Saccharomyces cerevisiae S288C: one gene and its partners. Changing the gene in region 1 together with any one later gene gives a genetic interaction. Each region holds a gene or a part of one and is shown in the gene's direction. Other genes may lie near its edges.

Region 1 (8,406 bases):
CTAAAGCTGACTTGAAGGATAGAACAAACACATTTTGCGGCACCACGGAATACCTGGCACCAGAATTGTTACTGGACGAAACCGGCTACACCAAAATGGTCGATTTCTGGTCTCTAGGTGTTTTGATATTTGAAATGTGTTGTGGTTGGTCCCCTTTCTTTGCGGAAAATAATCAAAAAATGTACCAAAAAATTGCCTTTGGTAAAGTCAAATTCCCCAGAGACGTACTGTCACAAGAGGGGAGGTCTTTTGTAAAGGGTTTACTAAACAGAAACCCCAAACATAGACTCGGTGCCATTGATGATGGAAGAGAACTACGAGCTCATCCATTTTTCGCAGATATCGACTGGGAGGCCTTGAAGCAGAAAAAAATTCCACCACCTTTCAAACCTCACCTAGTCTCGGAGACGGATACCTCGAATTTTGACCCAGAGTTCACAACAGCTTCAACTTCATACATGAACAAGCACCAGCCGATGATGACTGCTACCCCGCTATCTCCAGCCATGCAAGCAAAGTTTGCTGGTTTCACCTTTGTTGATGAGTCCGCCATCGATGAACACGTTAATAACAACAGAAAATTCCTACAAAACTCGTACTTTATGGAACCTGGTTCCTTTATCCCGGGAAATCCAAACTTACCTCCAGACGAAGATGTCATCGATGATGACGGGGACGAGGACATCAATGATGGATTCAACCAAGAGAAAAATATGAACAACAGCCATTCGCAGATGGACTTCGACGGCGACCAACACATGGATGACGAATTTGTCAGTGGAAGATTCGAAATATGATTTCTCAATCGCTCCTCTTGCCCTTCCTCTTCTTTTCCTTTTCTTTTTATTTTTTTCTAATTTTTCTATCTTTTATTTCTACTTCTATTATTAATTTGTATCTTCTAATCGTTTTTCCCACTTTATCGAAACATTTCTTCTATTTATATATGTAAAGTATGTATGTATTTTCGTTTTATTTAAACTCCAAAAAATGAATAATTGTTCCTGCAAATTTCTAGTTTATCACGTCTCATAATCACTGCTTATACCTCACCATTCCATTGTACTTTGACATATTTACCCCTCATCTATATATAATCAGGGCTTAAGTAAACGCTTCGCTGTGATTTCCCAAAGTCGGTTCGGAAATTATAGGTCGGTTATATCATCCGAAAAAAAAAAAAAAAAAGTTTTTCTTAAATGCATAGGTTTAAAGTCGATTAAAAGTAGGGCTAACACAAGTATAAGCAGGGTTTTGCTATAATAGGGATGCCATAAGTGAGGGCAGGGCTCATCGATGCGCGTACATGGATTTTCCGAAATTCTGAATTTTTTCTTTCTTTAACTATGAGCAAAATGTGGTCAGCTTTACTGAGCTTAACTGTCATCCCATCGAATGTGACAAGATTGAAAGTGCTTCCAGGATCTGAAACATTTGTCAAAGTTTTACTAACATTACACAGATATCCCTGGTCACCTTACTATCTTCCAACATCTTACCTAGGCTTGCTGCTTTTGTTTGGGTCATATATTTAACTCGCTCATTAGAGGACATTCTGTTTTTTCCAAGACCAACAAAAAAGCAACGAAATTGCTGTATTATTAAAGGACTGTTATAGAAGTTTTTTTATCCTCTCTTTGTTTCCATTATTCTTATTCCTATTTTTTCGTTGCTTACTTTTGATATCCACTATGAGCTTTTCCACCATAAATAGCAACGTCAATAAAACCACCGGCGATAGCAATAATAACACCACCGAGAACAGTTCGACTGCAGACCTTTTAGGAATGGACTTGTTGCAGAGCGGGCCTCGACTGATGAACACGATGCAGCCAAACAACTCTTCTGACATGCTGCACATTAACAACAAGACTAATAACGTTCAACAACCAGCTGGAAACACAAATATCAGCAGTGCTAATGCGGGAGCAAAGGCTCCAGCAAATGAGTTCGTAAGAAAACTGTTCAGGATACTGGAAAACAATGAATATCCTGACATTGTAACTTGGACTGAGAACGGCAAAAGTTTCGTCGTTTTGGACACAGGAAAGTTCACTACGCATATATTGCCTAATCACTTCAAACATTCAAATTTTGCATCTTTTGTAAGGCAACTAAACAAGTATGACTTTCACAAGGTTAAGAGAAGTCCCGAGGAAAGACAGAGATGTAAATATGGCGAACAAAGTTGGGAGTTTCAGCATCCAGAATTTAGAGTCCATTACGGAAAAGGTCTCGATAACATCAAAAGGAAAATTCCGGCGCAAAGGAAAGTGCTTTTGGATGAATCTCAAAAGGCTCTTTTGCATTTCAATAGTGAAGGCACTAACCCCAACAATCCTTCTGGGTCTCTTTTGAATGAATCCACCACAGAGCTGTTGTTAAGCAATACCGTAAGTAAAGATGCATTTGGAAATCTAAGAAGGCGAGTAGACAAACTACAAAAGGAGTTGGATATGTCCAAAATGGAGAGTTATGCTACTAAAGTAGAACTACAAAAGTTGAACTCGAAATACAATACGGTTATCGAAAGTTTGATAACATTCAAGACCATAAATGAAAATTTACTCAACAACTTCAACACTCTGTGTTCCACTTTGGCAAATAATGGTATTGAAGTGCCAATATTTGGCGACAATGGAAACCGTAACCCAACTGGTAATACCAACCCAGCAACAACAACAGCTATCCAAAGCAACAACAACACCAACAATGCTTCTCCGGCAACATCTACAGTTTCCTTACAACTACCTAATTTACCCGATCAGAATAGCCTAACACCAAATGCTCAAAATAACACAGTCACGCTACGAAAAGGTTTCCATGTACTGTTGGTGGAAGATGACGCAGTGTCTATACAGTTGTGTTCAAAATTTTTACGGAAATATGGCTGTACTGTCCAAGTTGTCAGCGACGGTCTTTCAGCTATCTCAACACTAGAGAAGTATAGGTATGATTTGGTTTTAATGGACATTGTTATGCCAAACCTAGATGGTGCCACAGCGACATCCATTGTCAGAAGTTTTGATAATGAGACTCCCATCATTGCCATGACAGGTAACATTATGAATCAAGACTTGATCACATACTTACAACATGGAATGAATGATATCTTGGCCAAACCATTCACGAGGGATGATTTACACTCAATTTTAATACGTTATCTAAAGGACCGTATTCCTTTATGCGAACAGCAATTACCACCTCGCAACTCTTCGCCACAAACTCATTCCAACACCAATACTGCTAATTCGAATCCTAATACGATTAATGAACAGTCGTTAGCCATGTTACCACAAGATAATCCGTCAACTACTACCCCTGTTACCCCAGGTGCCTCTATATCTTCTGCACAGCATGTTCAACAAGGTCAACAAGAACAGCAGCATCAAATTTTCCATGCTCAGCAGCAGCAGCAGCATCACAACGCCATTGCTAATGCTAGGTCAGACGTAGCCATACCGAATTTGGAACATGAAATCAACACTGTACCACATTCCTCAATGGGTTCCACTCCGCAATTACCACAATCTACACTTCAAGAAAACCAGCTATCATAAAATTTTACAAATAGCCTTGCGTCTAAGTTAGCAGAGGACATTCTGTATTCCTGAGGAGTTTCTTTATATTTATTATGTGATCTTGGAGGATTATCATTTTCTTTTCGTTCAATATTTTATCCCCTTCAGTTATTTCCAGTTATCTACATCAAAATGTTTGAATTTTATTTCTTTCTGCCGCTCTCAAATTCACTCTCATTTCTTTTTTCTTTGTTTTTCTTATATTTACTATATATATATATATATATATATATATATAGCCAAAAACAATAACAGACACAGTAATTTAGTATGCGTTTATCTCTTATCTTTCATCCACTGCGACCGAAACGTTTGAATCGAATCTGACTGAGGTTTTTCTTACATTCCCTTGTGTATCAACAGTTTCTGGTATGTCTAATTCAAATTCTTTTCCATTCTTCAGTATTTCTTTTAAATCTGGCTGGGCCTCTCTCATGGAAGATTTACGATTACCAGTTGATTTCTTAGAGCCATCTTCACTACTATCATTGGAATCTATTTTTTCTACTCCTAAATTAGCATCCGCATTCTTTTTCTCTAGATTTGGAACTCTTTCAAATGTAGATAGTTCATTTTGACAGCGGTCACACTGGCATAAGAAGCCCCAGTTAACTCTTAATTCCCTACGCCTCAACCTCACCCCATGTAAGGGATTGACGTACGTAATACGTATTTGTTCCCCCTTCTTTATTGGTTTCCTTGCATGCAACCTCAGTTCCTCATGTTCTTCTACTTGCTCAATATAGGCGTTTGGTTCACAATCATGGTTTATGAAGGAGATCCAATGATATACCTGGCCGTTATATTGATTGATATTGAACGTCCCGATCATGGTCAAAAATTTCTCGAAATCTATTTCTTCAGAAGCTTTTGGAAATGCACCGCAAAATAATTCGTAGCACTTCTCCCAAACAGTCTCGTCATCAATATTCTTCTCAACGCCCTTTTTGGTACCATTATCAGATTCCTCTTCAGTATGTACAGTTGTACCATTCAGTAAACTAAACGTACTGCCGATACCGCTGGCGTCTCTTAATTTAATTCTTTCCCTTTGTGAGATGCTTGCCAATTTTTGCCATTGCTCTTTGACCTCTCCTGTAGTATCCAAAAGCATGGATCCATATATAAGACCAACTGAAAAGGCAGCGGTAAAACAATATTTCTCACAGTAGTTAACAAATCTTTTCCAATTACCAGCATGAAGAATGTCTATTCTATTCGATCTCCATGAGTGGTATAAAAGCTCATGTAACGACGCATGTGCTTTTTTACATTTTTCACTGCACCAAATAGCTTTGCAAACTTCACAATCCAAATAATGGACCATAATTTTGTGCTGGGTCAAATCATATAGCGCCTTACCACATCGAGCACATGCCTTTCCATTAGATATTAAAAAAAGCTTGTCCAGTGGTGGAATATATACGATAGGTTTATTTTCTTTCAGGATGATTTGGCCCTTGGAAAAATCTCTTTTAGCGAAAAGGCCCCTTCCATGTTCGTCATCAATAAATTTCACTTCGACCTTAGCATCAGAATCTAGGGCTTTTGGAAAATGTATTTTATCTTTATATAGAGAAACGGTCTCTAGATCTGTGTCATAAAGATGGTGCTCATTTAGAATTTTTCGAAAACGAGAAGCACTCAATTTCCACGATTGATTTCTTTCCGTAATCCTGTCATAAAGATGCTGAATCGTAGCGTCTTCAGTTCCGGGCTCTTCCTTCCATAACAAAACTACGTCATCACAGATCTCTTCCTCTGTGGGAGTTATCTTTCGAAAATCAGAGCCATTTTCTGTACCATTATGCACTGCAGATTGATCGCTATCGTTTAAGGTTCCTATTTTGATAGTCAATGTCATTTTTGTGCCACTTTTCGTTATTTTGTATCAGTGCACGCTTGGTTATTTACCTATTTAGCTTCTATTGTTATATGGAGAAGTTCCCCATGATTATGATATCAAGAAAGAAAAAGAAAAAGAAAAATAATACGAAAAAAAAAATTACGAAGCTAAAATAAAAAAAATTACGGCAAGGAAAGGGTTTACTGATAAAATTTGTTATCATTCTTGCTAGTCAGTAAGAGCATATCTGCTCAAGTAGACAAGGGAAACTATCGCAGGTGGTCCGGAAAGTACTTGACAATCAAATGCTCGTCTGAAAGCCAATGAGGAAAACTTGTAGACTGTACTAATTTTTCAAGAGAAAGAAAGATACCGTATGTTTGACTATTCTAACGAGATTTATGCTACAAACTCCTCGAGAAGCAAACTGAGGTAGAATTACCCACCCACAGCGCGATAAGTCACATTGGCGCCCTGGACTTGACGAATACTCCTATCAATAGTAAGGCTCGCAAACCGCCCGTCCATATCAAGCCATTAAATTCTGTTATTATCCTTAAAAGTGAAATGCGCACCACAAGCTTGATGGCATTTCCTTCTGCACTTCTCAAATTGATAGCATTGCCTTGCGAGCAGTAGATAATTTAGATAAAGTGTATCTTGCCAGGGCCTTCCCAGGCATTAACTAGATAATGTGTTCTTTTTTAGCTGAACTGTAAAGCGTAAATGTTAACGCTGGATAAGTACCGCGTGTACGGTTGATTGAATGATCTTACTGATAGAGGCCAGGCGGTTGATACTTTGTGCAGATTTCATACCGGCTGTCGCTATTATTACTGATGAATTGGCTCTCTTTTTGTTTAATGGCCCATCCGATCCATATTGCCTTCTTATGACTCAAAATTCTATTGTGTTTGCCGGTACCGGCCTTTAAGCTTTGAAAAAAAAAAAGCATCTGAAAAAAATGGCACTATAAAGAGAGCTAGTGGTAACAACTACATGTTTTCGTTAGAATAAATCACCCTATAAACGCAAAATCAGCTAGAACCTTAGCATACTAAAACATGTTGCAGAGACATTCCTTGAAGTTGGGGAAATTCTCCATCAGAACACTCGCTACTGGTGCCCCATTAGATGCATCCAAACTAAAAATTACTAGAAACCCAAATCCATCCAAGCCAAGACCAAATGAAGAATTAGTGTTCGGCCAGACATTCACCGATCATATGTTGACCATTCCTTGGTCAGCCAAAGAAGGGTGGGGCACTCCACACATCAAGCCTTACGGTAATCTTTCTCTTGACCCATCTGCTTGTGTATTCCATTATGCATTTGAATTATTTGAAGGTTTGAAAGCCTACAGAACTCCTCAAAATACTATCACCATGTTCCGTCCGGATAAGAACATGGCCCGTATGAACAAGTCTGCCGCTAGAATTTGTTTGCCAACTTTCGAATCTGAAGAATTGATCAAACTTACCGGGAAATTGATCGAACAAGATAAACACTTGGTTCCTCAAGGTAATGGTTACTCATTATACATCAGACCAACAATGATTGGTACATCCAAGGGTTTAGGTGTTGGCACTCCCTCCGAGGCTCTTCTTTATGTTATTACTTCTCCAGTCGGTCCTTATTATAAGACTGGTTTCAAAGCCGTACGTCTTGAAGCAACAGACTATGCTACAAGAGCTTGGCCAGGTGGTGTTGGCGACAAAAAATTGGGTGCTAACTATGCCCCATGCATCTTACCTCAACTACAAGCTGCCAAAAGAGGGTACCAACAAAATCTATGGTTGTTCGGCCCAGAAAAGAACATCACTGAGGTTGGTACTATGAACGTGTTCTTCGTTTTCCTCAACAAAGTCACTGGCAAGAAGGAATTGGTTACCGCTCCATTAGATGGTACCATTTTAGAAGGTGTTACCAGAGACTCTGTTTTAACATTGGCTCGTGACAAACTAGATCCTCAAGAATGGGACATCAACGAGCGTTATTACACTATTACTGAAGTCGCCACTAGAGCAAAACAAGGTGAACTATTAGAAGCCTTCGGTTCTGGTACTGCTGCTGTCGTTTCACCTATCAAGGAAATTGGCTGGAACAACGAAGATATTCATGTTCCACTATTGCCTGGTGAACAATGTGGTGCATTGACCAAGCAAGTTGCTCAATGGATTGCTGATATCCAATACGGTAGAGTCAATTATGGTAACTGGTCAAAAACTGTTGCCGACTTGAACTAATGATAATGAAGGTAAACATCCCCTCCCCCCCCAAAAAAAAAAAACGAGAATTCCTCTCAGAGGATCTGTTTTTCTCTCACTTTATTCACATAGATACATACTTTTTTACAATTCCTGTTGAGTTTATTTATTATAAGAAATATTGGATTACTATTATTATTATAGCTTATGCAAGCCATTGTGCGGCTTCTTACGCTTTTTGAAATTGTTGACCTAACAACTTGGCACATTATTGAATTTCATAGAGACTGCTTGTAATTTAGTTGCCAAGGTATCTCGCTGGACTTTACATGTAAAATGAATGCGGCAAGATACCCAAGAGAGTTGATTATGCCAAAAAAAAAAAATCTATAAGGATATCCCTGGTATTTTCTGAAGAATAAATTCTAGCGTAGTTCAGAAGAGGTGCAAGTACAGTATGAATAATGGTATGCCTTCCATCATCGTGGCATACAGGTTCAGGCATGAAGAGATGATTATGTTCCCTCACCGGTCCATAATCCTGATTTAAACAGTTCATTAGTATATGTTCAGCCAACACAACAACGAGAAGCTTTGTAGTGAAAGTTTTCCACGATCTATATTTAGCATTCTAATTAGCGGCCCCAAGGGAACGTATATAAACATAAACAAACGGCACGAACTAAAGGGGCAAATTCAAGTTAACCCTTTTACACTCAGTACATCTTCAAAGCCAGTCTTCTGTCAATGGAAGAATCCAGAATGCCTAAAA
Region 2 (4,412 bases), on another chromosome or scaffold:
TTCAAATAGTTTGGGATGGTATTCAAAACATTTCTAAAATCTTGAATTACATGTGTATGTTTAATAAGCGGTACGAATATGGGTTCAAACGCCTTACTCCTACACTCCAATTCATATTTATCAATGGGGACAGTTTTATTCTTGAGCAGTAATACTCTGACTTTTTTACGACTAGACATCTCTCGAGCAAGGTCTATTTTACCTTTCTGTTTCCTTATCCTTTGACACTAAAATTCAAAAAACTCACTAGAAAGTTCACTAAAGCGCCTTAGCTGACTACAGCACAACCCAACCCCAAAAACTAGTGAACTACACACTAAGAGAATTTATGGTATTTCCATAATTGAAGTATATGTACGATGTATACAATGTAAACAAGAGAGTAATGAAGTGAAGATATGTACACCTAGAGCGAACCAATGATAATTTGTTTTCTTAATTAAGAAAAACCATTAAAACTGGATTAGATTTCAATAATGAAAAGCTAGGAACAAAAAAAATTGGTCTACTTCCAGCCATTTGCGCTTTATATAGACATATGGAGGCGTGATGTCTTAAGCATGGTAATCCGGAAGATCAGTTTATTGAATGATGGTTTTCTTATCCTGAAGGATCCTGCAAATGAAGTAAGTTCAAAGAATTGAAATGAAATCGCCTTTTATACCCTCGCCGCACCAAGGAGCGCGCTGTGAAAATTTTTCGCTTTATCTCTTAGGGCTCCTACTGTCGGTAGAGAAAAGTTGAGTATATTTAAAGCATGAGGTAACTTTTCTGCCCATTTTTACTTCTATTTCCATTTGAATTCAGAAAAGTGAAGCAAAATTACACCATGAGTTCCTATTAACGTCAGCCTCTTTTGTACTCATAATGTGGCTTCGGATGTTTGATGGGCGTTGCTTCAGTGCGTACGGCTCATGGTAGATTAATTATTAGAAAGATGTATCTCCAGCTGTTGATATTAGAGGGGGAAGCCTTTCTCTTTCACCTCGCCTTTTTAAACACCTGATACAGTTGGTCATGATTCGTTCTACATTTTAATTTCTTTATGTAACCACGTTGTATATTTTCAATCTGGAAAGTAACCTAAAAGAGTAAAAACTGTTTATTAAAAAAAATGTTATTCAAAATTTATACATAGTACACGTACAGCTGCCTGAAGAAAGCATGAGCGAATGACTTATGCTTCGTCGTCTTCGTCTTCACTTTCCAAAGCAGCAAATGCGTTGAAACCAAGAATTGGCTTGTCCGCAACAATATCTCTGGTATCAGCAGGTCTGTTGGAAGAAATATTTTTGTTATTTGGCTTGACTTTTAAAGTTTCTTGGGCAATGGTAGCAACTGGCACAGTAGAAGTTGGTGTGGTTTCTGTTTCTTCTTCATCATCTTCTCCACTACCCTTCTTCTTGGCTTCAAATGTGCACCAACCATCTGAATCGGTTGTAACCTTAGGCTTGTTGTGCTTAATCTTTGGTCTACCATGATGGTGGGAAGATCTTCTACGACCGAAATGACCAACATGATGACTGTTAAACTCTTCCTCTTTCAAGTGTTGCAATTGCTTAACTTTTTCAATGATGGCTCTAAATTCCACCGCATCGAAATTAACTTCCAAAGTTAAACTTGGCTTCAGTTGAAAAAGCTCATCGATAGTATACTTGATCATGTCGTGAAATTAAATAAAAGTTCTTAATCCTATATTCAGGTTACAGCTCAAATAATGTCTATCGCAATCGGTAGAATATGCTTTACGCCAAATACTTTTTCCAATTTTTCACTATTTTTCGTCCAGGAAAAGAGATATTCAAGCCTCGCTACTACCCGGCTTTATAATATAGCATAAGAAAAGGGACTATAAAGCCTTATTAAAACACTACTATACCCTTGCAGAGAGAGTATTATTATCTATGGAGATCCAGGCAGTGTGACATGAGTGAACTGCTTGCCATTCCACTTAAGCGAACTTTAGAAGTGGACTTTGCCACGGAGTTGTCAAAACTAATTGATACTACTTCCTTTCAAACGGCATCCTTTTTCCAATCAGACATACTCAAAGTTGTTGATGCAAGAAACAATGCGATTGCACCCGATATCTCAATCGACGGTCTTTCTGCACTGAAGGAATACTATGTAATATTGTTGCAATTAGAGAAAAAGTTTCCCAATAATCAAATAGAATTTACATGGTTTCAAACGCTATCACAAAAATCTCGTGGTACTAGTCAATACTCATTACAATGGGAAAAATTAACCATTATTTATAATATTGGTTGCATGTATTCACTGTTGGCTCTAAATAGCAACAATGATGCAGCCGAATCCCTCAAAACGTCATGTCTGTACTTCCAGAATGCCGCCGGATGCTTTAAACATGTTTTAGACCACCAAAAAAATCTTGAGACAATCCCAGTGGTAGATGACGCCACATTGAACGCTTTAACCTCCCTGATGCTAGCACAAGCGCAAGAATGCTTCTGGTTTAAAGCCGTGCAAGATAAACACAAGGACTCCTTAATCGCGAAGTTGTCACAACAGATCGTGGACTTCTACTGCGAGGCTATTAATGACGCCCAAAGGGGGAAACTTATTAGAAGTGATTGGATAAACCACTTAAAGGCTAAAAAGGCTTACTTTAGTGCGGTGACTTATTACAGAATAGCCTTATCTTTTAATGAGAAGAAGCAGTTCGGAAATGTTGTGAAAGCTCTGCAAATGGGATTGCAATTTATAAATGAATCAACACTATCTTCGCAAGCTAAGTTTAAAACTGTTGTCGAATCTTCTCTGAAAGAAGCCCAAAGAGACAATGAATTCATCTACTTACAAGAAGTTCCTTCGGAATTACCATCGATCAAACCAGCTCTCATGGTTAAACCATCTTCTTCAGCAACATTGTTGCCTTCTATTAAAAAGGATGAGACTTTATTCAAAGACCTAATCCCTATAGAAGTGATGGAATATTGCACAGCATACAATGAAAGGCAAGATGAATACGTTGAACAACGTGTTACCAATCCCCTTGCTTCCCTAAATAAACTATTGAAGGAGTCCTTGACTACTTTCCAAATACCACAAGGGCTTACAAAGGTGAGTGAAGCAGAACTGAGTCATTACCAGGCATCACTGAATAATCTTCTCATTAATAATAAAAATGTGCAGGTACAACTCGATAACATTGAGCAAATTTTAAATGAAGAAGCATTTACTGACAATCAGCTCCGACTAAAACACGGAACCTTAAATTGGACTTTACCCGAATCTTCAACTACTAACACAGCATATTATGAAAAACTAAAAAAGCTGAGAGGATACCTTGATGAAGGTAGTGCGATTGACAAACAAACAAATGAACTATTTCAAAGCATCGATAAAAATTTGATTGGATCAGAGATCAGGTTACCGGAATCTAATGATCCTCTAACGAATAAGATTAAGATGATCATACAGGAAAGAAATGATTATATTGATAGGACGAGGCGGAAATCTTCAGAATATAGAATACTTCCAAAGATCATTACATCGTATAAAAAAAATGGAACAGTCGACTTTGAACCCATTTTCATAGGCCATTTAAAATACTTTGACGAAGATTTAAGATACGTTAATAGTACAAAGGAAGAAAATATCAAACTTATTGAGGAAGTAAACCTAAGTAAGAAGAATAACCCCGGCAGAAGCGGGATTGAACCAAAGAAAATGGTAAGAATAGATCCCAGAGAGCTATATATTGAAGATCTGAGATATTCCTTCAAACTGCTTGATGAGGTGAAAGAAAATTTAAGTGCCGGCACAGCATTTTACGAAAATTTAATTACTTCTACCAGCAATCTGTACAATGAGGTACAGGAATATGATACAGCAAGAAGAGCAGAAAAAGCTAGGCTTGATAAGAGTTTGACATTTGAAGACCAATGATACCTGTCCTCATTCATCTATAAAGTATATTTTGAGCTTGTCATCCTCCCTTTCCATTATCAAAACCCAGCTTCACTTATGTAGATATATACACTCAGGATAAACTCCTTTTTCCTAATATTTTCATTCCACAGTCTCCTTCTTGTTTATTTTCCATTTTTCAAAATCAGCTTGACGAGTGTTTCTTTTCAAGTTGGATTTATGTCTTCTGCTACCCAAATGAATTTTCCAATATTTTTCGCCAATAGCTACAACGTTCTTACCATCTGCGTTACGACAGACGTTGCAAGTATAATGTGTCCAATCGTCCAATTTCTTCATCGTAGTTTCGCCTTTAGACAACAGCTCCTCTAGGGCTTTAGGTGCCCTTTCTTGCTTGATGGGTCGATTGCTAATAAAGTCATTGGAAATAGCTATCGCTCTTTGAGATGCATTCGTGTCCCATTGAGAAAGGTCAGTGGCATCCAGTAAGTATATATCGCCTTTGATGTCAGGTATCA
Region 3 (3,777 bases), on another chromosome or scaffold:
GAACCAGCTCGCCGTGCACAAAGTAATGGGCGGAAGTCTGTACAAGAACTCATTCTTTTGCATATTGAATAAAACTTTTTTATTTGACGGAGAAAAAGTTTTGTTATTTTTTTGGTGGTGGTCAATGGAAGGCTTAATGTACGACCAAACTTCTGGAATATATTCTTTGACACATAGCATCAGTACCCCTTGGTCGATGTTAACACCTTCTAGATTGATATTATGCACCCCCGGTAGGTATCTTGAAGTAATAATCACTAGCATCCAAAAGGCCCTTTCCTCGTCTAAAAATAACAATAGCAAGCCTGCAAGAAAGTTCATAGATTGACAATAGCCAATCTTCGGATTGTAGAGAGAGAACGCAACAAGCACCCGGCGTAAAGATTTTATAATCGGAGGTCCCTCTTTGTTATGCAAGCTACTTTGGAAATGTATATTGTCCGGAAATGTTCTATTCAAGTCACGTTCAATAATATCCAAGTCTTGAACTTGTTTTTCATTAGGGTTTTGTTTCTTGATCTGCTTCATCTTTCGTAAAAGTTGTGAATAGACGCCTTTATTCTTGTTTAACTTCTCTTGCCCTCTAGCGAAATGCCACCATGCATTTCCTCTCCATTCCGCTGGAATGCCCTTTCTGACATACCTTTTTAACCGTTCACTCTTTGATGGAAATCGTGAAGGAGAATCATCGGTCACTGGCAACCCACTTTTCTCCAACAGCAATTGCCATTTGTGCTTACGGCGAACGCAGTACTGCGAATATTCTACCCACCACTTATCGTATTCTGCTTCAGATATGTAATTATTCTGTTTTTTGAAACCGTATCGATCAAAATGGGTATTGTTGATTCCATTGGAATTCGCACTTGTGGCACTAGCGGCACCCTCCAATTCTACACGCTGACGGTTGTCATCATCAGGAACCAAATCGAGGTCATCACTGTGCACTTCCTCCAGATCTTCGTTACCATTATCGCCATTATTATCATCATCATCCTCTCCTTCGGCACGTTGGGATTCCACTTCGTCTCCATACAGGTCAATAACGCTTAAATTCCCATCATGTTCAGAGGGGGATGCTTGGCCCAAACAACTTGGTTCCACAGAGCGATGATCATTCGCTCTAAAGCTTCCGTTCACCAGAGCTGAGTCGCTAGAACTATGATCTGAATGCATTTTATCATGAAAGTTAGGAACAGACGGTGATTTCACCGTAAATGCCCCTCCTAGCCTTTTGTATGGATGCGCCAGTACCGTCCTATTTTGCAGGGAGAACCTCTGTTGATCGTTCTGCATGCTAATTACAATGGTTCTGGGTGCGCAACTCTTTGACTCCTACAAAGCTTCTAGATGTCCCTTTAGCTATTTTTAGCTACTTTCTTTCTACGTGACATAAACGAGGTTTGATCCTGTTAATTCTGATACTGCCCGAACAGAAAAATAGCAGCTATTGAAAGAGAAGATGGAACCCGTTGTATCGGCGAGTAAAGATAAGTACTTTAGAAGAGCAACCCACATCGTTTAGTTACAAGAAAGACAAAAGACTGGTACTACAGATTCGGTGTCCTTTACCTGTTTTCTTCTTTCCTGTGCGCACTTAATCAGTCATTTTAGACTATCGTTTTTAGTAGCACATAAGGAGGAAGACACTCGATGAATAGTCGATTCTGCAAACATGAACTTGTGGAGACATAGTCCAGAAGAATTGGCTGCTTACAATAGCTGTCATCCAATGAAGCTAGGTTCAGGGGTGCTGATACAATTGCCTCTTTATGACAATTCGGCAGTATATGCAGAAGATATTACTTTTAGGAGTTTCTGCTGTGAAAGAGTGCCCGTTTATGTATCTACGGTGCTAAGAAACTCTTCCCCATATAGGTATCTTGATGAGGTGATCAATGACTGGCAAAAATTCATTCAAGTAAGCGATTATGTCGGCGGTTCTGCTGAGTATGCGATTTATGCTGTGATTTTGTCGATAACTTCTAATTTTGTCATCACAGTGTTCCTGACTGTGATATGCTGTATAAATATCAGCGGGCGCGCATATAAGAGAATTCTACAACTACTGAGGATAGCCTCGTTGTTAGCCTCGTTGAACTTAACGATTTTTATCACGAAGGTGTTGCGGAGATTGGAAAAAGAGCACAATGTCTATGGTGTCGTTCGGGCTCATTCCATTATGCACATCTTTTCCGATGATATGACATTTGTTGTCTTGGATTTCTTGGCTACTTTAATGTTCCAATTTTGCCAAGTCGGCATTGTCATTAGGCTATTTCAAAGAGCTCAGGAAAAGAGAATAATTTTTTTTATTGGGGTGATATTAACAATAACCGCAAATATTTTATGGGTAATTCCACCGTTTGCTAACCATACTACAAAACACAGAAATGACTGGCAGATTCTGCGGCCATTTGTTTACCTTTTCCGTATTGCCATCGCCACGTCATATGCATCAATCGTCATTTATCACATCTGGCAGAAAAAAAAATTGTGGTTTAAATTCAATCAAATGGGTTTACTTACGCTATTGACTATTCTTGTGGTGCTTCTATTACCGGGTTTCTTCCTTGCCGATGTGTCGAACTTATGGATATCGGAACTGGGTGAAGTGTTTAACACGACATGCTATGTCACTTCGACCGTGATCACATGGGAGTGGCTGGATAGATTAAATGTTTTGGAAAGAAAAGAGGAAGCGCAAAGCATTTTGGGAAGACCTATCTTCGAGGAAGAGCAACAAGACTATCGGTTTGCCAAGTACGCCTTAAGGGTTCAAAACGCTTTAACCAGGAGGGAATCTCAGGACGCATCAACGGATCGGCACGATACGTCAAGTAATTCGGAAGTATGTGATTTACAGACCATATCACGCTACGACCCAGAAGATCAGATATCAGTGGGCAGAAGCATTGATCGAATGCATTTCAATGATAGGGGAACTTATAAAGATGTAGCGCTGAAGAAATTAGGCTATGCGCGTGATAAAATTTTATACTTTACAGACCAAATCGTCCAGAAAAGCGTAGGCCACAATAATAGCAGCAGCTCGAAAAATGAAAAAACCAAACAGAGAAAGGCCATGGTCAGGAAACGGTTGGGATTAGACAAACCAGGCATATACATTTATTCGACAAAGGATGTCGTTTTCAATTCAGATGAAGATGACGATGAGAACGCGGAAGATGAAGATGACGATGAATATGAAGTTGGCAGTGAAGGCAATAACAATAGCTCTGCCACTTTTACCAGCGACCATATAGGCCATATTTGAAGGACACAGCAGAAACAGTATTACAACAAACCTACATATTTATATATTCCATGCATGCTCAAGATGCATATGCATAATATTTACACGAATTGCGAATATGTCACATAATAGAGCAGTGGATAAGTACTCAATGCAAAATCACTCATAGTAGTCCCATTCTTCAAATGCAGTTTCCAATAATTGTGTATTCAAATTAGTGGGATACCTCGTATACCTCACGCCGCTCCTAGTAACAACATACTTGTCATTGAAGCTGACTTGAACGTCCTTATGTATAGTCCTCCCCCAAAAGGTATTGTGCCTCTTGGTGTATCTTAACCAATGCATTCTCTTGAAATTATGAATCGGACTTGGTTGAATAATACAATCTACGCCATCTTGGAAAAAATATGTGGATGGTACTTCATCTGATAACCGCACTATGATTTTTTCAATATACGCCTTGATTTTGTTTTCAAATTTCTTAGAGTCTCTGGAATTTGTTAAAGTTGACAATATCG

What was found. Genes that interact genetically often act in the same process or in processes that back each other up.
Region 2: mutations in SKN7 (region 1) and RIM20 together harm fitness more than expected from each alone (negative genetic interaction), as found in Saccharomyces cerevisiae (3 studies listed by BioGRID).
Region 3: mutations in SKN7 (region 1) and RIM21 together harm fitness more than expected from each alone (negative genetic interaction), as found in Saccharomyces cerevisiae (3 studies listed by BioGRID).

The regions. Positions count from the first base shown.
Region 1 is NC_001140.6:511,041-519,446, forward strand, and holds SKN7 (kinase-regulated stress-responsive transcription factor SKN7), read left to right. Parts: upstream 1-1,691; coding exon 1,692-3,560; downstream 3,561-8,406. Other genes in the region: serine/threonine protein kinase SCH9, read left to right, coding at 1-797; SET5 (S-adenosylmethionine-dependent methyltransferase), read right to left, coding at 3,865-5,445; branched-chain-amino-acid transaminase BAT1, read left to right, coding at 6,492-7,673; CRG1 (S-adenosylmethionine-dependent methyltransferase), read left to right, coding at 8,397-8,406. UniProt on the Saccharomyces cerevisiae protein: Transcription factor that is part of a SLN1-YPD1-SKN7 two-component regulatory system, which controls gene expression in response to changes in the osmolarity of the extracellular environment.
Region 2 is NC_001147.6:838,584-842,995, reverse strand, and holds RIM20 (Rim20p), read left to right. Parts: upstream 1-1,926; coding exon 1,927-3,912; downstream 3,913-4,412. Other genes in the region: uroporphyrinogen-III synthase HEM4, read right to left, coding at 1-179; CAF20 (Caf20p), read right to left, coding at 1,178-1,663; MOD5 (tRNA dimethylallyltransferase), read right to left, coding at 4,036-4,412. UniProt on the Saccharomyces cerevisiae protein: Required for the proteolytic cleavage of the transcriptional repressor RIM101 in response to alkaline ambient pH, which is necessary for sporulation and invasive growth.
Region 3 is NC_001146.8:78,159-81,935, reverse strand, and holds RIM21 (Rim21p), read left to right. Parts: upstream 1-1,675; coding exon 1,676-3,277; downstream 3,278-3,777. Other genes in the region: Rab GTPase-activating protein MSB3, read right to left, coding at 1-1,296; MRX6 (Mrx6p), read right to left, coding at 3,416-3,777. UniProt on the Saccharomyces cerevisiae protein: Required for the proteolytic cleavage of the transcription factor RIM101 in response to alkaline ambient pH. Required for growth at alkaline pH.